Linked DNA regions of Oreochromis niloticus. The protein of the gene in region 1 purifies or fractionates together with the protein of each later gene. This does not show direct contact. Links are inferred from orthologs where the notes say so. Each region holds a gene or a part of one and is shown on either strand. Other genes may lie near its edges.

What was found. The genes of interacting proteins can lie anywhere in the genome.
Region 2: the proteins of cxxc1a (region 1) and setd1ba purify together in Homo sapiens (affinity purification with mass spectrometry; 11 studies listed by BioGRID and IntAct, counting the BioPlex papers as one, with this or other methods). This does not show direct contact. The link is inferred for Oreochromis niloticus from reciprocal best matches to the Homo sapiens genes CXXC1 and SETD1B.

Annotation. Positions count from the first base shown.
Region 1 is NC_031984.2:4,924,500-4,934,711, forward strand, and holds the start of cxxc1a (CXXC-type zinc finger protein 1a), read right to left. Parts: upstream 5,309-10,212; 5' UTR 5,048-5,308; coding exon 5,045-5,047; intron 1-5,044. UniProt on the Homo sapiens protein: Transcriptional activator that exhibits a unique DNA binding specificity for CpG unmethylated motifs with a preference for CpGG.
Region 2 is NC_031972.2:22,366,388-22,377,205, reverse strand, and holds the start of setd1ba (histone-lysine N-methyltransferase SETD1B-A), read left to right. Parts: upstream 1-5,939; 5' UTR 5,940-6,828; coding exon 6,829-6,889; intron 6,890-7,147; coding exon 7,148-7,299; intron 7,300-7,560; coding exon 7,561-7,659; intron 7,660-7,949; coding exon 7,950-8,220; intron 8,221-9,057; coding exon 9,058-9,179; intron 9,180-9,566; coding exon 9,567-10,655; intron 10,656-10,818. Other genes in the region: rho-related GTP-binding protein RhoF, read right to left, coding at 325-412, 3,950-4,201. UniProt on the Homo sapiens protein: Histone methyltransferase that catalyzes methyl group transfer from S-adenosyl-L-methionine to the epsilon-amino group of 'Lys-4' of histone H3 (H3K4) via a non-processive mechanism.

The DNA of each region.
Region 1 (10,212 bases):
GGAATTGAACACTTGCACATCTGCAACGGCACCATGAGTGCAGAAAGGTATAAACAAGTTTTAGAGCATCAAATGCTCCCATCCAGGGAAGGCCTCGGATATTTCACTATCATAATGCTATGTAGGGCTGCCACGATTACGTCGACTATCAAAATCGTCGCCGACTAATTTAATAGTTGACGAATCGTTTGACGCTTTGTAAGGTCCCAAAAGATGCAGGAATAAACAGCAGGATTTAAGAGTGTAATAACGGACTGAAACAGAAGATGGCAGCACTGCATGTACAAGGATGCCAGCTGCCGTTAAACGCCAAAGAAGAAGAAGAAGCAGTCTCTGGTATCGTAGCTGTGTCCAAATTCAGGGGCCGCATTTGTAGGCGAAGGCTTTCCAAATTCGAAGACTCCTCCAAACGCGGCAGACAAATGCGTCCTTCATTTCCCCAGATTTGAAGGATGGGTCGGGTGTATCCTTCATGGCCCAACCTATCCCAGAATTCATAGCGTGGCCCAGCCAATTCCAGTTTCCAACAATGGCGGCAGCTACTTAGCTTTAATATTACTCTTATTATTCTTTCTGGGTCACAAAATAAACGTTTAACATATTTTCAGGCGAGAATGTAGCTGTGTAAACTTCAAATATCTGCTCGGTTTATCAAGACATCACATATTTGTAAAAGTGCTCCGATGTTTTCGGAGACGTCTGTTACCCACCAGCTTGATAGCTAGCCGGGGTTCAAGGCTCACTAGAGCCGGCGTGAACAGTGAACTCCCGGCACATCGTTTTCAGTAGCGTTTTCAGTGGGAGAAACGTTTCCTCACTCATCCAAGTGACTTCTTCAGTCTCAGCTGACTGCAGGTTTCCCCAAATCTTATAAACAGTACATTTGCACAATGACTGAAACCAGCCCACTGAAGGAACAATGGGCTGGGAGGTCAGTTCCTTAATCATAATTGCGCAAATTATCATGACCATTGATCAACAACCACTGATCAATGGTCATGAGTACCATTCACAGAGAGTTGGGGAATGGCTGCAATCACAGCATTGTAAGATGGTGACAGATGTACCCTTAGGCCCCCTCCTCGATGCAGAGATGGTCTTTCCCTTGTCACGTAAATGGCCTCCTTGACTCCGCGCTCAAACCAGCGTTCTTCCCTGTCCAGGATGTGTACATCCTCATCATTGAAAGAGTGTCCACTGGCCTGTAGGTGTAAATAAACTGCAGAGTCCTGGCCTGACGAGGTAGCTCTTCTGTGTTGTGCCATCCGCTTCGCTAGAGGTTGTTTGGTTTCCCCGATGTATAAATCCTGGCAATCCTCCTGGCACTTAACAGCGTACACTATGTTACTCTGTTTGTGTCGGGGGACCCGATCCTTGGGGTGGACCAGTTTTTGGCGCAGCGTGTTTTGGGGTTTAAAAGCCACAGAGACCCGGTGTTTAGAAAAAATGCGTCTCAACTGTTCTGATACTCCTGACACATATGGGATCACTACAGGTTTTCGCCTGGGCAGCGGTTGACCTTCTCTCCTGGATCGGCTGGAGCTTCCCAGCTTTGACAAAAGTCCAGCTGGGATAACCACATTTACTCAGGGCCTTCTTGATGTGCTGTCTTCTGCCTCCCTGGCCGCTGTGTCAGTGGGGATGGTGTTCGCTCTGTGTTGTAGCGTCCTGATGACACCCAGTTTGTGCTCCAGTGGATGATGAGAGTCAAACCTTAGATACTGATCCGTATGCGTAGGTTTACGGTACACGTCAGCTTTTAGATGTCCCCCATTACTGATGGAAATCTCACAGTCTAAGAAGGCCAACCTGCCACTTTTCATATCCTCCCTGGTGAATTTGTTGTGTCCGTCCACCAAGTTAATGTGGTCCGTGAAATGTAGTACGTCCTGAGATTTGATTTTCACCCAGGTGTCATCCACATATCTGAACCAATGGCTTGGTGGTGTTCCAGGGTAGGATAGCAACGCCCTCTTTTCCACTTCTTCCATGTACAAATTGGCCACGATGGGTGAAACTGGGGAGCCCATGGCACACCCATGTTTCTGCCTGTAGAACTGACCCTTGTATGTGAAGTAGGTTGAATGAAGACACAGTTCCAAAAGCAAACACACTTGGTCGATGCTGAGAGTGGTCCTGTTGTTGAGGTTGGTGTCATCCTGTAATCTCTTACGGACTACCTCCAACGCTTCCGTGACTGGGATGCAAGTGAAGAGAGATGTAACATTGTACGAGACCATGGTTTCATCTGCCTCCATAATGACATCTCTCACCTTCTCAACAAAATCCAGGGTGTTCTGGATGTGGTGTTCAGAGCTGCCCACCAGCGGGTTGAGGATCGAAGCCAGAAACTTAGAGATGTTATAGGTGACCGAGTTGATCATGCAGACAATCGGTCTTAAAGGTGCAACCTGCTTATGTATTTTCGGTAAACCATACAGACTTGGTGTAGACTCCCCTGGGTACAGCCTGTGGTATGAGGTCCGGTCAATAGCCTTGTCTTGTTCCAACTGCTTCAGACAGTCTATCACCCTCTTCCTGTAGCCACTTCCTGGGTCTTGTTTCAGGGGCTCATAAGTATTTTCATCACTGAGCAGTGACAAAATGTTCTCATGATAGTCTTTCTGGTTTAGCAAAACTGTGCACCTACCCTTGTCTGCCGGTAGGATGATAATGTTGTTGTCATTACTAAGTGATGTGAGTGCCTTCCTCTCCTCCATGGTGATGTTGGATGCTGGGGGCTTTGAATTGCTGAGACAGGCCGAAACTTTCGTCCGTAGTTGCTCTGCTTCCACTTCTGCAAAATTGTTGTTTCGAATTGCTGTTTCTGTGGCTGTGATCAGCTCCACTAGAGGGATTTGTCTCGGTGTGACAGCAAAATTCAACCCTTTAGCAAGGATGTTTTTCTCTGCTTGGGTGAGCTGTCTGTCAGACAAATTCTTCACCCACTTGTCCACATCCTCCATGTCGCATCCTTGTCTCTTCTGGCTGCTGAGGGCACTCTCCGTATTTTGCTGTGGTTTCCAACATACAACAAGTAAGTCAAACTTCCTTTGTTGCCTGGTCTTAGTCTTCTTGTGCTGTGCTAGACGAGCCTTCTCAGTGAAGTCAAACACCTTTTTAAGAGTATTCTCGTCTAGAAGCATTGTCAGTCTCTGTCGGATCCGCTCCTCTTGAGATTTTAGCATGTCGATGGTAAAATTTGTTTGCCTCACCTGTTCATTAAGCAGCTGGTGCTGTGCCTTCTGGAGGATTTTTGTTGCCCGGAAGCCTTTTGCAGACTTTTAGGAGTAATCCTGTTTTGTCAGCATCTGAGGCTGAATCTTCAGTCGGCTGGTTTTAGTCATTATGCAAATGTACTGTTTATAAGATTGGGGAAACCTGCAGTCAGCTGAGACTGAAGAAGTCACTTGGGTAAGTTTCTCCCACTGAAAACGCTACGTCCAGATGAACAGATTCAACCTTTGGAGATTAAAGTGATAGTTTTCCCACAGCTGAATAAACATCACACAGAAAACTGATTAAACAGAAGTGTGAGATGGTAGAATTTACTCCAATGTCCTGTTATATTTTAGATAGCAAGGAGCAGACGCTGAGTTTATTAAACTTCACTGAGACAATCTGCAAATTTCATTAAAGGTTTAATAAACCATCATCTTGTCTTTATTTTTAGTTAGCACATACCTTAAACACTTCAACTATAAGCTACTGATAGTTATATAAGAGCAGATGCATGCTGATGCAATAAGCTGTACATTTTACATCCAATGGATGCATGATCTGATTAGTCGACTAATCGCAAAAATAATCGGTGACTAGTTGACTATCAAAATAATCGTTTGTGGCAGCCTCGTGAAAACCAGAAATACAACAAAGACGAGGCGGGGTGTTCTGCGAATCTATTCTACTCAAATCATCCTACCCAATGTTTCTGCGCATACGCTGCGCATGCGCTCCTGAGGAACCTGGATTCAGAAGAAACGTGACAGGAAACTCCAGACCCGGTTCATGACCTAAAAAGTACTCCTCTGAGACCTGCGGATCTTGGACTAGATTACTACTGAGACTGTGGAGCGGCTTTTATTTGGAAAATATAAAAAATCTAGATTTAATCAGACCAGTTTCAGGTCTAAGAACAGTTTTATTTAATACACTTAATCTATACTCTGGATTAACACCTGGATTAACTAAACACCCCATAGACCAAAGTCCAGACACAAAACCAGGACCCAGAGGCTCATTCGATCTGTTTATAACTCAACAATATCCACAAAAACAAGGAAGTAATGCGTAGTTTCATTTTTTTTCTGTGCAGACAGCACGACACCAGGTTCAGGACCTTCAGCCGGGACTGAAACAGAACCCCGAATACTGAAAGTCACATCAACTCCGTTCACTCCAATGGACCATTAGACCTCATAACAGTTCCTGGAAGTCACTCTATGATGTCTGTTATCGCACTAAGCCTGTATTACATTGGTTTAGAGTGTCCAAACAAATTCATTCAAATCAATCAATATATCATTCTCTGTTTAGCATTAATAACTAATATTTCCCTGTCCGAGCCACCACAGGTGTGCAGAAGCAAAGACTGCACACAACGACATCAGACTAAAGCTGTGGTGTGTTACTCATTTTTCCCTCTTTATTTACATCATGAATTGATTGTGGGAACTAACTGCAAGTTAAAAGAAAACAGAAGCATGTGAAACAGACGAGCCTGCATTAAAACCACTAAAGTGTCCTTTAAAAACCCGCCTGGTGACACCTGAAACCCGTCGCCGTGCAGCGATTTAACAGCTGATTTCTCCACATGCGGTCTGCACGAACCACGTGACAACATCTCCAGCCCTCCCTGAACACAGCTTTAACCTCCTGCAGGAGCAGAGCTCTCCTCACGCCTCTGCTGCTCCGCTCCGACCAGACTCCGTTCACTTTTCTGCCGATTTTAGCCGCCCGCGTTTGGGCTGCAGGATGGAGAAAAAGGGAGCTGCTCCTCTCTTCTCCTCCATCAGTACAACATGACAAACAAACCCGGACTCACCATGAGCTGCTGCAGCTGCTCTGAATTCGCAGAAGAAGAAGGAGAAGGAGGAGAAGAAGAGTCGCTTCTCCGGTTGAAGCTGCAGCCTCTCGCTCGTTTTACAAGCTCACCAAAAATCTGCAAAAATCTCTTTGTGTCCGCATCATTATTGTTTTCCTCTTCTGTAGTTTTGACCGAGGAGCACAAACAAACGGCGGGTGTGTGTCGCCACCTGCTGGAGGGGAGGTTGTGACATTGGAACACGCGTTTGGGTTTTTGGAGGTATCTTTAGGTTTAACCCTGCAGACAAGACCGTGAAGACTGAGAGGTACCAAAGTGCAGGGACCTGCAGTGCCCCCGGTCTGAAGGGTCACACGACACTTTACACGAGAATAAAACTGATTTCTGATCTTTGGACTCCAGTCTGTGAACACAGCAATAACACAGTGAACAGAAGGTTTCTCAGGAGCAATCCTTCCTCAGGTCTGCAGGAGGAAAACAGGCTGTATAAATCATGTGAATGAGCATGCACATGTGTTTGCTGTTTTTAAATGATTAACACCTGTCCCAGCTGCTACTGCCACAGGTATTAATTATTAATTATTAATTTTACGGCTCACTTGTGAGCAGCTTGTGACTGTTTTGGTCTGAAATCTTCTGATGTTGTTTAATAGAAACAATCATTATAAACTCGGCTCTGATGTTTGGAGCTTTCCTTTCTCACCATTGGACTGTTTCATCATGAAGTGCAGTTCTCTTTGCGTCCAGCAGGTGGCAGCAGTGAAGCACATTCAAACCTCCGCGGCAGCTCAATATCTGCTGAAACATCTGGAATTACTCCCGAGTCCTGCAGCAGCTGCAGATTTCGCAAATGCCGACCTCATGAAGCGATTTCTAATGGATTCCAGTTAATTAGCTTTACTTTTCTCTAAAAGTTTCTGCTTGTTTTTATTTTCATTATCAAAACATCTGCTTCGTATTGCTTTTGGTAAACACAGCATCACTTCAGTCATTCATGTGTGTTCAGCAGAGCTTCTGGATGTTTTATATCCTTTATTTTTAAGCATTTTTATACTTTATAATGTCAATAAAAAGTTCCCAGAAAAAGAAATGATTTATTTCTAATTGTAAACATGTTTTAAATTATTATGAACACTTTAATATCTGATTAATAATAATCACTGGAATTTTTTTTTAAAATAATTTCATTACACCAGAAATTACAATCAAACATATATTATTTTATATTATTCAGAACATTTTCATCTGTCATCTGCTGATCGTGTGAGCTCTTCATTTCTACAGAGCTTCTGGAAAATAATACAGAGTTAAACAGGGGCCCAGCAGCTGACTGCTGCCCCGGTGACCCTGAAGAGGAGAAGCCGGCCCTGCTGCATGTGTGTGTGCGTTTATGTGTGTGTTTGTGTGTGTGTGCTTTTAAAGGAAGCGGAGGAGGCGGTGGTCTTCACACACATGTGAACGCTGCACACAGAAAGACAGCAAAGTGTTTATTCAGACGCGGCACGACATAACTGACGAATAAAAAGGAAGAAAGAAAGAAAGAAAGAAGCTGCAGGTGAGAAACTTCTCTTTATTTGTCCGTTTTCTCTCTGCGATTAAGTGACTTCCAGGATTTGATATTTAACAGTTTTTTAAGGTGTTTTAAAGACACCTGCATTTCACTGAAGTGTGTAATAATAACAAAATGGATACGTAAATTTATTTAACATCTCAAACTGAGAAGTCATTTGAAAAAATGTGAAATAAAATATCTCAAACAGCTGAGTAAAGCTGTTGTTTTCCTGATTTACATCACAAATTAAACAGCGAATGCATCATTAAGGCAAAACAGAAGCCGGCTTTGGGCTCTTTATGTGTATGAATGTTTGCAGCGTTCAGGTGACGCCTCCTGCAGACTCACCTGTTAGAAACATAACTGTACCTGAAGCTGGGAGCTAGGATGAACTCATACTGACATAATCCATAATTATTAACCTTCAGATGATACTTGAGCAACTAAAATGACTGAGTGTGGTCATCGATGTCTCCACTATATTTTATACAGGTATATAATTGTAAAGGCTCTTTAAAAGTGTTTCTCATGCCCGTATAAGTTCCCTTCATCTATGACCGACACTCTGAAAAATTTCTGAAATGTTGTTTATCGCAGTTTTTCGACTCATTTCCACGAGCTGAGCAGTTTCACTCTGGGTCTCGGTGTGTTAGCCATGGTTCACTGCAGAACATCACAGTGTTCTGATTAGAAGTGGAAAAGTAAACTCAAAGCTTATAATGGTATTTTTTTAAACAGATTTCACATAACCTATCCTTATCTTTACCACACGAGTGACCACATTTCCGTAAAGACATCTATAACAAGTTGTGGGAGGCGTTGAATCCAGCTCTCAAAGGGTTGATGATTTTGGATTACACTCACCGCTGTTACGCCGTGTTGTTTAAACGATGTATGTCAGCAGAGATTTTCAACTTCAGTGTTTCATTCATTGAGCTCTGATGTGAAACTGTGAGCAGCCAGCGTGATATCATGTTGTTGTGTTTGGATGGGTGGTGCAGTGGTTGGCCTCACAGCATGCAGGTCCTGGGTTAAAAACCAGCGGCTGGGGCCTTCTTCTCGTGTCTGTGTGGCTTCTCTCCAGCTTCCTCCCTCAGACACGCGTGTTCAGTTAACTGGTGAATCTAAATTGGCCAGAGGTTCTAATGTGAGGGGAAGGATTGTCTGTCTCTTGGTGTTAAACTGCCGCCCTGTCCAGGGTGTATACCCGCTCACTCTGTGACAGCTGGGACAGGCTCCAAGAGGTGAAGAGAGTAGACGGGTGGATGTTTATATTACAGATATGATGATACTGTAAATATTTGTGTGATTGTTCTCTTGGTATCTGGTTGCAGAGTTTCCACCTCCTTACAGTCATAAAGGAGTTTCACTGATATTCATAATAATTGTGAGGTGAGAGTCTGATGCTGTCTCCAGCCTCGTCGCTGATCATGCAGTCTTTTGATTATTAGCAGAGCGGGACTTTCCCACCATCCATCAGAGCCACATTCATATTCACATCATGGCTGGACTGAAGGCTTTAAGCACTCAGTGCATGCCTGGATCATTGAGTTACAGACCACTGCACACGGATGTTTCATGCTCCACAGCCAATCTTTTGATTTCTTTAGTAATTTAACACACACACACACACACACACACACACACACACACACACACAAGCTCGAAATCATTACAGAGAGCGCTGGACCTCATGGGAAAATCAGAGAAAACCCACAAAGAGGCTAAAAATATCTGCTGATAAATGATGCAGCTCAAGCTTATTTAAGATGCTTTTTATAAAGTTAATATTTTGTTTAATGCTAGTGTCCTTTTCCCATCTCTCACTCTTCTCCTCCTCCTCCTCTGTCTCCCCGATAATCCTCGCCTCCTTTTTCTCCTTTTGCAACACAAAAAGTTTTAAAAAAAAATTACAGGTGTAGGATTTACCCCGAAGAGAAAATTCTGCCATTGTTTCTTAAAGATTCATCTTTTTTCTGTGCAATAAAAAATAAGATAAAAGCTCATAAATAAATAGAACAGAATAGAGTTTATTTTGAACATGTAAATATAACTAAAATAACCAGAAAAACAAAGTAAAGACATCCAGTGGTCATGAATATCTCTACATCCAAACAATGTTTGTGCTCTTAATGGAGCAGGATGAAGTTTACACCTGTTTGTTTCTACCTCCTTATTTCAAATTCTATAATTTGCAAATTAATGATCAGAGTTCGACATATAATCTCACAATACACATGTTTAACTACATACAAGTCTACACTCATATACGGTACATACATAAAACTATTTAAGTTCAAAAACCAAAACAAGAAACAACATTTTTACGTTGCTAACCACCCTGTGATCAACACCCCACTAAATCTCTGTGCCTCGTGAAAATAACCTCTTTTATATTTGTTTTATATGGCGTTGTATCTATGTGACAAATACCTTAATGAATACTCTAAGCCTCGGTTACTCTCGCCTTGATCTATAAAAATGAAGACGAGGCTTCAACAGAACACAGAGCAGCTGATTTACTCTTACAGCAGGAATCTTAATCCCTTCACATCCACCTCACTTTTTCTCTATAAAAAGACTAAAAGCTCGGCAGGATTTAGACTTTTATGGTGAAAACAGTGTTTGGAAAGCAGGAAGACATTCAAGAAGCTTGTGATGACAGGAAAGGTCAGCTCTCCCAGTAAAGCTGCTGTGGCAATGTTCAAACTGCTGGGATGGTCAAATTCAAAGTACACCCGGGGAAATCAGCTGATTTTTTAAATTTTTTTGTGTATTTGTTTGTTTTTTCATGTTTGTTGAAGACATTGTGGGGCGACCGTGGCTCAGGGGATTGGGAAGTTCATCTGTAACCGGAAGGTTGCCGGTTCTATCCCCCTGCTCTCTCTGTCCTGGTCGTTGTGTCCTTGGGCAAGACACTTTACCCTACAGCAGGGGTGTCAAACTCAAATACACAGTGGGCCAAAATTCAAAACTGGAACAAAGTCGTGGGCTAACATTAATATTTATTGAAAAAAAAAATCTTCCTCCAGATATAAGAATGAATCTTTTCTTATGGACTCAAACAAGTTTTGCTGAAAAACTGAATATGGAACAAGCAAAGCTTAATACTAAACGATATATATATTAGCTGTATAATACCAGTAGGCCAGCTCTAATAGTAATTTGGCATGGCTTCGCGGGCCAAATTTGGCCCGCGGGCCAGAGTTTGACACCTATGCCCTACAGCCTACTGGTGTTGGCCAGAGGGGCCGATGGCGCGATATGGCAGCCTCGCTTCTGTCAGTCTGCCCCAGGGCAGCTGTGGCTACAACTGTAGCTGCCTCCACCAGTGTGTGAATGTGAGAGTGAATGAATAGTGGAATTGTAAAGCACTTTGGATGCCTAGAAAAGCGCTATATAAATGCAATCCATTATTATTATTATTCAAACTTTTACCTTCATAAAGTCGCAGCCTGAGGAGAGAGGCCACTGCAGAGAATCATGGGACGTTTCATGTTGATGTTAATGTGTTAAGTTACAGCGTCAATGCCCATATTGTGGTTATGTTGTGTTGTTGTTCATTTATGATGTGAACTGCTGTGTTTTCTTGCTTCTGGTTGGGTTGAATGTGTCT
Region 2 (10,818 bases), on another chromosome or scaffold:
GCTCTGACATGAACGTCAACCTTTACTACTTCCTTCTACAGTGTTTCTCAGAGCACGAAGATAACAACTGAATTCACAAGATGGGAGTGTGGTTGAACTTTAATATCTTAAAAAACAGAAAAATAAAAGGGTGTTTCTCTTCCTCTCGCTTGATAATCACATTAGATTAGATACAATACTTCTGTTTTATTCCACCCAGAGGACAAATAATGTGGCCACTGAGCTAAAAAATAAACCCTGATGTCTTCTCATACAATGTGGAATTTAAGTGAAGAAAAGAATCCTGAATCACAGAGATGATCGTTGATGTTTTTTTGGTCTTACCGGCTGTGTCATACAGGTTGAGCTTTATCTCTTTTCCTCCGAGAGTGATAGTCGTGGTGTATTTTTCGAACACTGAAGGTGCATACTTCTGTTTTTGACACACACAAAAAAAAGATTTTCAACTTTAAGAGACAGCGTCATGTTTATATATCCCTTCATTTATACCGATTTGAAGTGTTTCAGAGGTGTGCCCCGTTAATCTTTGGAAAGGCAGCTTACAGTGCTGGGTGTGACAGGTTACAGTCACACATCAGAACTTTGTTAATAAATTCAGAAAGCTGTAATGAGTGAAAAGTGACACGGGAGCTCTTCTTACCTCTGGAAAATCACCTTTGGCATAAACCATCAGAAGAGATGTTTTCCCGCAGCCTCCATCTCCCACAATTACAATTTTAAGTTCATCTCCCTTTTTCTTGGTGCCGTTCCCGGCACCGTTTTGTGTCATCTCGCCTCCAAAGTGTCACGCAGGTGCTCCCTCCAGATTTAACTTAAATACATGACACAGCCTAGCGAGTCTATTTTTTGAAGGGTTGAGATGATTTACAGGGAGTGTCAGGCAGAGTGAGGAACAGCCAAGCCTCATGTTTTACCAGGTAGCTCACTCTGCTCACCACTTCCTGTTCCTGTCACACTGTCTGCCTCCAATTGACCCCCCACTTCTCTCCTCTCCTATTATGAGCCTGTTCACTGAAAGCATGCCGCTCTCTCGCTAAATTACACATGTGAAGCGACTGAGTCTGGCTGCTCCTACTTCCTCTACCGCAATGTGTTTGCGTATTTCATTTTCTGGGTGGGTACTCAGTCTGAAGCACTACCCCCACTGACCGCGTGGCGTGTGTGTGTGTGTGCGAGGGATAACACTGAGAAATGCTCACTTTTCACGCTGATCCTACTGATGCAGGATCAGCAGGTTTTTGTTGACGCTGACAGCTGTCACTACAGAGGTTTCTAGACTCCTGCCTGTGGAGGTGTGAAGCATTGTCTTGGTGAGACTGAGTGGGTCACTGGGTGCACCCATCTAAATGTGAGCTTTTTCCAGGTAAAAAGCCTGTTTTGGTTATCTTTTCCACTTTCAGGCTCAAAAGATATATCAGTTGGAACCTTAAGGAAGCATGCAAGCAGCTTCCAGGTAGAATATTTAATATATCTGAGGAGAAAACAGAGCAACTGAGAACCAGCGCTTCCAGATTAGACAAAAATAACTGTATATTACTTTAAAATTAAAGTGTTTTCTGTACCATGTGATCGTTTTGAGTCCTCAGCAGGATGTGAGTAATGCTTCTCTGCTGTGACATCACAGATGGTACCATCAGGACAAACTATTTTCTCTCTTCCCAGGGTGCAGTTTATGGATGTGGGGTTTTTTGGTCTTTTTTTACAATGTGATGAATCTTTTCAAGGGCGTGAGGATTTTTTTAAAGTTTATTTTTGTATTTTTCAGTGTTTTGGGTGTATTATCTTGTCACAGGGGTGAGTGTTACAAACTAGAGCTAAACACTGATGTGGCTAGATATTAAAAGACACACACAGCAGAAAGTGTGAGAAAGCAGGTTTGGGAACGTGTTTCATTGGCAGTGTAGATGACTGGTTATCAGTGACTGTGGGTGTCGGGAGAGAGCAGATCACAGGGAACAACCGTATATGATCACAAAACGCCAAACACTGCATTTCCCCTGCCATAAAGGCACTTCAACATGCTGATGTAGACTAAAAAGTCAAATTAAACCCACGGGTGTTTAATGATATGGTTAGCTGGATCATGGAAGTGCTGAAAATGTGAGCAACCTGTCCCTTTAAGAGAAAAAGCTGACACCCTTCCTCCATTTCAAAAATGTAATTCTTAAAACGTGAATAAATTGGCACAAAATAAACGTGTTTCTACTCAAAATTCCTCCAGTAATCTCACCCCACAGCATGTGAAACATCCCGTATATTGTGTCATCACAGCTAAGACACAGTTTTAAGGATGGGCCCAAAAATTCAACAAAGTCTCCTTTTAGTTTCCATAACAAGAAAACAATAAAATTAATGCATAGTCTATTTATTTCATCATCTCACAAACACACACGCACACACACAGACAGACAAGAGGCAATAAAACTTGCAATGAGAGTATGTTACAGATCATTATGTGGAATAGTACAGCAATACACTACACATGCAAATATTTAAGAGCTAAGAAGAAGAAATCTGGCTTGGTTGGTTTTTTTTGGTTGTTTTTTTTTACAGTACCAAGCAATCTCTGCAGGGGGACGAGGGGAAAAAATCCTTGAAAAAGCCAACTGTGCCCATAAATAATGAAAAACACGACTCCGAGGAATGCTTGATTTGATTCAGTCCGTCAGGATTTAAAGCTGAAAGTACAAAAGCCATAAAAAAAATAGACACAGCACTGTACCTGTCAGTTTGGTACAGTATTTAGCGCAATAAATTTTAAAAGAAATATGTTGAATAAGTAATTTTTTTTAAAAGTGCTTGATTGACTTACAAGGTGTAACTGGCAGTATAACATATGGCTTAAAAGGATATTAAATTGTTCTTACATATCCACACGCATACAGCCCATTTTCATCAGTTAATAAACAAAGAACAATTGTTAAAATATTATCACTCCGAAGAGAAAGAGACAGCTGTCCTGCAGGGGAAAAAGGCCAGTCCTCTCTGTGTGGAATATTCCAGACTGTCAGCGGCAGCGCTGAACGGGCACAACCCACTCGGGAAGCTTTTTTTTTTTTTTTTTTTTTTTTTTTAAACAAAAGAAAAAAGAAAAAACAAAAGGCCTATAAGTAACCCAATTGGTGTGGATTTCATCGCAAATCCATCTCCAAAGTAATGTCACATTTTCACTTTTTTGTTGTTTGTTTTAAACGCATCCATAAAACCCTCTACATAGCTGTAACCGTGGGCTGGCTGTGAGCAAGGAGAAGCTTAACATAGAGAGAGAGAGAGGGGGGAAGGGTATTGAAGCCCTGTGACCTGAATGCGCGCACCCGGCAGCTTAGAGCCGGCAGTTGATAACAAGAAAAACAGGCCTCTGACACGCACACTGACACAGACAGTGAAAGACTGCACCATTTAACTAAAGAGGTGTATCTAGAGACCCTCCCGCGCCCCATCCATTTTACGTACGTGAATAAAGACCCTCCCCTTCTGTATATTTAACTCCTTCACCGAAAAAAAGAGGTTCATATCTTGTTTGTCTAATCTGGTAAAGCAGCCGTTGATCCGCTGGACTTTGAAGCGAGAGCTCACGCGCACGCTGCGTGCTATTTTCGCCTAGATACCAAACAACAGAGCTGCCGCTGCAGTGGATTCTTCGTGACCTTATATGGCAACGGTGTGTAGGAGGGGGGGAGGGGGTTCCAACGAATGCGCTCGAGCTCTCGGCGCGAGTCAGCCTAGCAACCGACCGCCTGACTACGCCGGTTTTATGAAAGTTTCCTTCCTCACACGCAGTTGTCGTCTTTTTCTTCTCTTTTTATATTCGTGTAAAAACAGCCACCAATTTGGATTAAATAAATAAAAAATAATCACCCCCCAGTGGCGCTTCGTGTGGTTACTTCCTGCTGAAATTACCCTCGGATTAAAAAAAAAAGGAAAAAAGAGCCGCTCTCTTGAGCCTCACCCAGTTATGGCGCAGCAGCTTTTTCACGGCACAGTGCTCTCCTTTGTCTGTAAAGAAGCCATTTTGAGACAGAGAACAGCAGAGAAAACCACTGAACAAGTGTTGCCTACATACCACTAAAAAGGTCTCTGTTTGGAGAGGGGGAAGCAGTTTAAAAAACACAAGATTTCTTCCCATAAGATTCTTTTTTTGTGGCTCGTTTAAGACTTGGATTACATGTTTTGAATACTGCCTGTAAGTTTGCAATATCATTAAAAATGTGGGTTACAATTACTCCTTTTTCCCTTTTTTAACAATTACGCTGAAGTCATTTTGTATCAACTATTTCTTTGATGTGTGCTCTCTTATTAATGTAGACATATAAAGCTGGCAAATTGAGTGAAATAGCTCAAAAATCCATTACCTGTCCAAAACATTATCCTTGCAGTTTTAAGTGAAGTGTAGATCAGCTAGAAATGTCGAAAAAAAAGCAAGAGAGGCTATTATCGACTGCAATCCTGTCTTCAGGGAGAGAGAAGAGATGGTTTTGCATATTGCCCACACAGATGATGCTTGAAGATGCATATTCGCTGGCTGAGAGAGGCAAAGCTACCACTGATCAAAAAAAAAAGTTCTCAAAAGAGCTCTCTTTTCGTGCTAATGGATTCCTTCCTTTTCAGGAGACGCATTCCCACCCCTTATTAATGCCATTATTAGAGGATCCGAAGATGGAGCTGAAAACATTCCTCCTGCCCCTGCGTTTAGGCCTGTTAACTGCTGAGGTAAATATTTTCACCCTGAAAGTTTTCCCTCCATCTCTTTAATCTGAGGTTGTGTTTTTAAAAGAAAAAAAAATCGCTGTAGAAGCTGTTAAAAAAATAAATAATTAAAAATGGTGGTGGTGAAGGGGGACTTCCTAAGTGGGCTTCTTTCTAAATTTAAATTATGCCCTTGAAGCAAGGTCAAGTCGACAATTGCACATTTGGCTCTTTCTTAGGTGGACAGCACAAACCTAGTCGATTCAAGCTGTCTCCACAGTTGCAGTACAGGGCACAACAGGAGACACCAGGGTGTTTAAAGCGTTGCTGTTGTGAGAGGAAAAGTGGGAGAAGTTGTTAATCAGAGCAAATGGATTATCAGTCAACAAACTATTTAACAAGTGGCCATTAGGTCTCCGTGGCCTGCTCCTCAGTCATCTGAGGAGCACTGATGCTACAAACCCTGCACCTCTAGCAGTGTATGTTTTAATGTCAGCATGCCAGTGGACATATTTTTTTTTTAAACAAAGCTGCAGCATTTTTATGTGATCACATAGCTCAAGTAGACAAAAGTGACAGACATACTTTTAATAACAGTAACTGCATGCCTCACATTTTACATTAATTAGTTAAATTTAAAAATAAATTATGATAAAAGACTTGAACTTACTCATTGCAACTCATATCCTACAAGGCCATAAGTGCAATGCCAGCAAGCTGCCATTGCACATTTTGTCACTTTGTGTTTTTTTTCCCCCACCCCAACCTCTATCATTTTAAACATCTCCAAAAGCATAAAGCTGTTTATTCACAACACTTTTGGTTTCTTTTCACTTAAGAAATATAAATACTGGTATATGGGTGTGCCATGACCTAGTTAAGACAAAGATGGATTCCAAGGCAGAGGAAAAAAGGCTCAAAATGTCACGGGGTAATTGCATCCAGCACATTCTCTTCCTTCTTCTCAATCCTTTAAAAGGAGCAATCATAGTTTTATCATAGTCCGTGAGAGATGAGGAAATCAAATGTAAGATCCCTTTGGAACAAAGGAAACCCATATAGGCCATTGAGTCCTGTTTAAGGAAAATGGCTGCCGAGAGCGCTCAGCCCCCTCTCTCTGCTCTCTGTTGAAGGACTCCTGAGCCGTGCCTCTAATAGCAGACGGCTCCTCTGCTGCTGCGCTCTGATTGGCTCGTCGAGCTACCGCTGTTAACCAGCCAATTGCCCGAGCACTGCAAACAGCACCAGGCAATGTCAAACAAAACCCAGCTTGTCCGATAGAAACGCACCTCCACTGAATTAATTCACAAACTAAGAGAAGCACAGTCAGGTTTATTATTATATAAATAAAAGCGCCACCGTTTTTTTTAAAATGCTAGCATAACATTAATAATTTTTTTAAAAAAAGAGGACAAATGGGGAACATACGCGACGGTTTGGCACTAGTTTGTTGCTGTAACCGCCGCGTTCCAACGGTTATATAGCCGGGTAGCGAAATCGCGCTGCCAGCCAAGCGAGTGTTCGTATTAAAATTCCAATTCCCGTGTTTGACATTTTTATATTAGCCGCCATCACCAGTCGCCGTAATGACTCTTTTACCCTAAAATATCAACCGACATGTCCTGAATTTACAAACGGCCGCAATACCGCACAGAAAAGCTCGCCACCAAAGCAGTTTTATTAGCCCTTTAGTGGCAGTTAAGAAGATATTACCCCCTGTGTCTGCCTTGTGTTTGCCAGTTAGGTAAATACAGCCGGTAGATTCAACACTATATGTCGTTTAGAGGATTTTTGAGACACTAAACTATCGCCAGACCTCATTCAGTCGCGGATATAAATGGGAGCGTTTCTTTGTGGCCCGCCTAAAAACACTTTTATTTTATTGTAAGGCTAATGCAGCGTTAAATAAGCTGCGGCCATGGAGGCAAGTTTGTAACGAAAGTGCCGTTGGAGGTGGGCAAGCCTAGCGGTGTATTGTGGGAGAGACAAGCAGCTACAGACCAGAGGCACACAATATGTGTTGGCTCTCGCCGAAAAGGAGGCAGTATTCTTTAAGCTAAATCATGTAATGTAAGCGGCGAAAGGAAAGCGATTTCGTCTTTTCATCAATTAAAAAGAAAACAACACTCGATCGGACGAACCATGTCCAAGCCAGGGGAGAGGAACAGATTGAACGAAGACCATGGCAGAAAGCAGAGTTCAAGTAAGCTTGTTCTTTTTTCCTCTTTCTCCAGCCCTCCTAATGCCTGTTTTCCCTAAGTGGGATATACGCTAGATCCCATTTTTCGCTCTCGCTTGGGGTTACCCCCGCCACCGAAGTCATGCATCTGTAACGTTTGGCTGTTTTAAAGTGTTGGAGGAGGTGGAAAGGGGGGAGGTTTTGCTGGTAGGAGAACCGTGCTTAGCGCTTGGCTCCCGATAACGTTAGCTCTCCTCTCCTTGTCGCTGCCTGTCGTTTCAGGTTTGGCGAACGGCATGGACAGTCATCCCGTCTGCGGCTCGGCGGAGAAGCGGAGTCACCACTGGAGAAGTTACAAGTTGATAATCGACCCGGCGCTAAAGAAGGGATCTCACAAGCTGTATCGCTACGATGGACAGACTTTCAGCATGCCCGTAAGTGCCGCATTTGACGCGGCGGAGCGGCTACAATAGTAACCGAGTAGCCGACCTCCATGATAGGTTACAATGTGGCTGTGCTGGCCGTGGGTCGGTCACGGGCACGTTCAGCATCTTGAACACGGTGCCCGGAGGTGTTCGTGTTGATTCACCGACGCAGGACAACTTTGCAACAAGTTAGTAGCGTGTGGAGCTGTGAATGGGATGGATAACGGCATTGTGTGTGTGTGTGTGTCTCTCCCCCCTCTTCTCCCACAGAACCCCGGGATACCACCGGTGGACATCGTCAGAGACCCCAGGATCGGTCGTCTGTGGACTAAGTACAAAGAGACGGATCTGCCGGTGCCAAAATTTAAGGTATCCACTCTGGCTTGAAGATCGATGCCACACTTTTCCTTGCGGATACGGGGTGCTGTCAAAAGTTGCAGACACACCCCCCTCTCACTCATCTCCGGGATGCGAAGTGAAAATGTGCCTGTCGGGGACCAAAATAATACGCTCTGCTCTGATGCTTGCCTGCATTTACGGACTCGACCGAGTGCATCAACGCGATCTTTGAAACTTCTCCTAGCAGTTGTTATCTCAGCTGTCAGAAATGACCCTCCACACACGCGGTGCAACATTAACTCCTGTCATTCTTCTTCCAGATCGATGAGTGTTACATCGGCCCCGTGCCTCCAAAGGAGGTGACTTTCGCCAGGCTCAACGACAACATCAAGGAAACATTTCTTACCGAGATGTGCAAAAAATTCGGAGAAATCGAGGAGGTCGAGATCCTGTACAATCCGAAGAACAAGAAGCACCTGGGAATAGCCAAAGTTGTTTTCGAGAGTGTGAAAGCCGCCAAAGTGGCCGTGCAGTCGCTTCACAACACGTCTGTTATGGGAAACATCATCCACGTGGAGCTGGACCCGAAAGGTAAACAAGAGCTTGAGCTTGCTTTAAAAAAAGGAAAAAAAAAAATCAGAATCATATGTGTTATAAGAATCGGGAGCACAAAAATATGACAAGTTAAGTGTTTCCTTTAGGGTGACAGCGTTCACGTGTGCACATTTACGTGCGTTGCCTGGTTACGTGGATAATTGAATTCATTCATTGAATATAAGCCTGCTCCCACAAGCCCAGAGCTGACGGTGCTGTGCACTCCCACTGTGCATAATTTCAGACCTGCAAACAAACACAAGCCAATCTGTCCGAGTCCTCTGTATTTTAAATAGTTTGCATTTAACTTAAAACTAAGAAAAGAAGTTAGTTTTTCAGTTGTTAACACTGTTTGAATTCCATGTCCATGCATGTTCTGTCTTGTTATGTTTTTTACTGATGCAAAACAGCAACTTGAATGCATCTAAAGATACCACTTTAGCAGTTTTGCTTATTATTTAATGATGTAAATATTGGCAAATATTTTGACTCAGAGCTTGCACTGTTTTCATTGTCCGTAGTAATGTCTATATCTTAAAGTATTACCCCAAATTGATGCATTTTTTCCCTAAGTGTGATTGATGTCCTTTTAAGAAGTGCAGTTAGGGTTTGCTTTTTTTAACAATATGCTAAAGGCATGCATGCTTTTTTTAAAATTAAAATATGCTGATCAGTGGTATTTATCCCAGAACATAATGACATGTCGCTGCTTTAAAATATTTAGTTTGGAGTTCAGCTACTGGAGAATAATCACTGTCACTTAAATGATGCCCGATGAGGTCTGTTGGCTTTGTAAACCTGGCATCAGACCCAGACATGTTTACTGTTCTGCAGGTGAGAATCGCCTGAGGTACTTCCAGCTCCTGATGAATGGCAGCTACACTCCACGGACGCTGCCTGTTGGTGGAGAGGAGGCCAGAGAAGTTTCCCCTCGAAGCCTGGCAGAAGCCTTACTGGTAAAAAAACAAAAAGAAATAAAGCTTAGGTTGTGCAGTTTAGAGTTAAATAGTAATTCAGTAGTAGTTTTGTGCTCATTTGTTGAAGGTCAGTTTGGAGGAACTGTTGCACACTCTTGTGTAGATGCTTTATTGTGCTTTGTAGAAATGGTTCAAGATACACCTGAGCAGGAGCTCAACTTAAAGTCAGTCAAACCTGTGGCTTTGTGTCTTGAGATGTCCTCACACTGCTGAGCTACCAGCTTGCTATTTTGATTTTAAAAAATCTTAGTTGCTTCAGTTCTTTGAGAAACTGATTTAAAGAATCTTCTTGAACCTAAAGATTTTCTCGACAAAATGCCCAAATTAGAATTTGCCTCTAACAATTTCATATTTGTGTCCTCTAAGGCTTGCGAGCCCATCCGCAGGTTATCAGAGAGCGGCGTGTCTGCTGGGGGAGGAACATTGCCACCCAGCAGTTCCTCCACCCCCCTGACCTTGGAGACCGGCTACTCCAGCCTAAGGCAGGATACGCCACAATCCCAGGGAACCCCTCATACCCCTCGCCAGGCTGGTACGCCCTTCTCTCAGGACTCTAGTTATTCCAGTCGGCAGTCCACGCCTGCCTACCAATCCAGCCGTCCTGAGAGCTCCGGAGGTTACAAATCTCGCCGACACGAGAGTAAATTTCAGGATGCGTACAACCGGAGACCGGAGAGGCCTCAGTATCGCAGCAACATGTATCGAAGTACGCCTGAGCAGCCTCCTTTCAAACAGCACCAGCTCACACCACCTGAACCTCCACCTTCCACCACTTCTTTCAACTACACAGCGCCTCCCCCCGCTACACCGAACTTCAAGTCTGCTTTCTCACCCTACCAGCCCCCTTTGCCCCCTGCGTTCCCTCCAGCAGAACCAGCTTTCCATCACCCAGCCCAAAGGGAGGGTGAATACCTCCGACCGCCAGAGCCGCCTCTGACGGCTGCTGTTGACTTTTTGCCCGCCAAGGAGCGACCACAGACTCCTCCGATCCCAGAGCCTCCGCCACCAGAGCCCGCTCCTCATCCAACCACCCCTCCTCCTCAAACGCCAGAGCACTGCCCTTCACCCGGTTCCCCCATTCTGGATCCAGAGCGGAACAGCCTGGATTCTCGCATTGAGATGCTGCTCAAGGAGAAAAGGACAAAACTGCTGCCGTTCCTGGACGAGCGGGACTCGGACAACGAGGTGCGAATGGAGGGAAGTCCGATTTCCTCCTCGTCCTCGCAGCTATCCCCAATCCCCCCTTACACAGGCGGCTCTCAAGGTGGTCAGCAAAATTCCCGTCCCTCCAGCACAGGTTTGGAGGACATCAGCCCCACGCCACTGCCGGACTCGGAAGATGAAGAGCCAATTCCCGGGACTGCCTCACTGATCAAGAGAATCAGCTCTCCTGTCCACGAGAAAGAGAAAGAAGGATCTTTTGGAGGCCACTCTCCCGCTGAAAAAATGGACACGGTAAAGCAAATATTTGTTTTTTTAATACCCTGATATTTGTGTCCAAATAGCGCCATATTTACCCGCATGCTTGTCACATTTGACAAGAAACAGCGCACAGGTGTGTGCAGATGCTGCTTCAATTACCTCTCATTAATGGCACTGATTAAGTTGATGGAAGCGC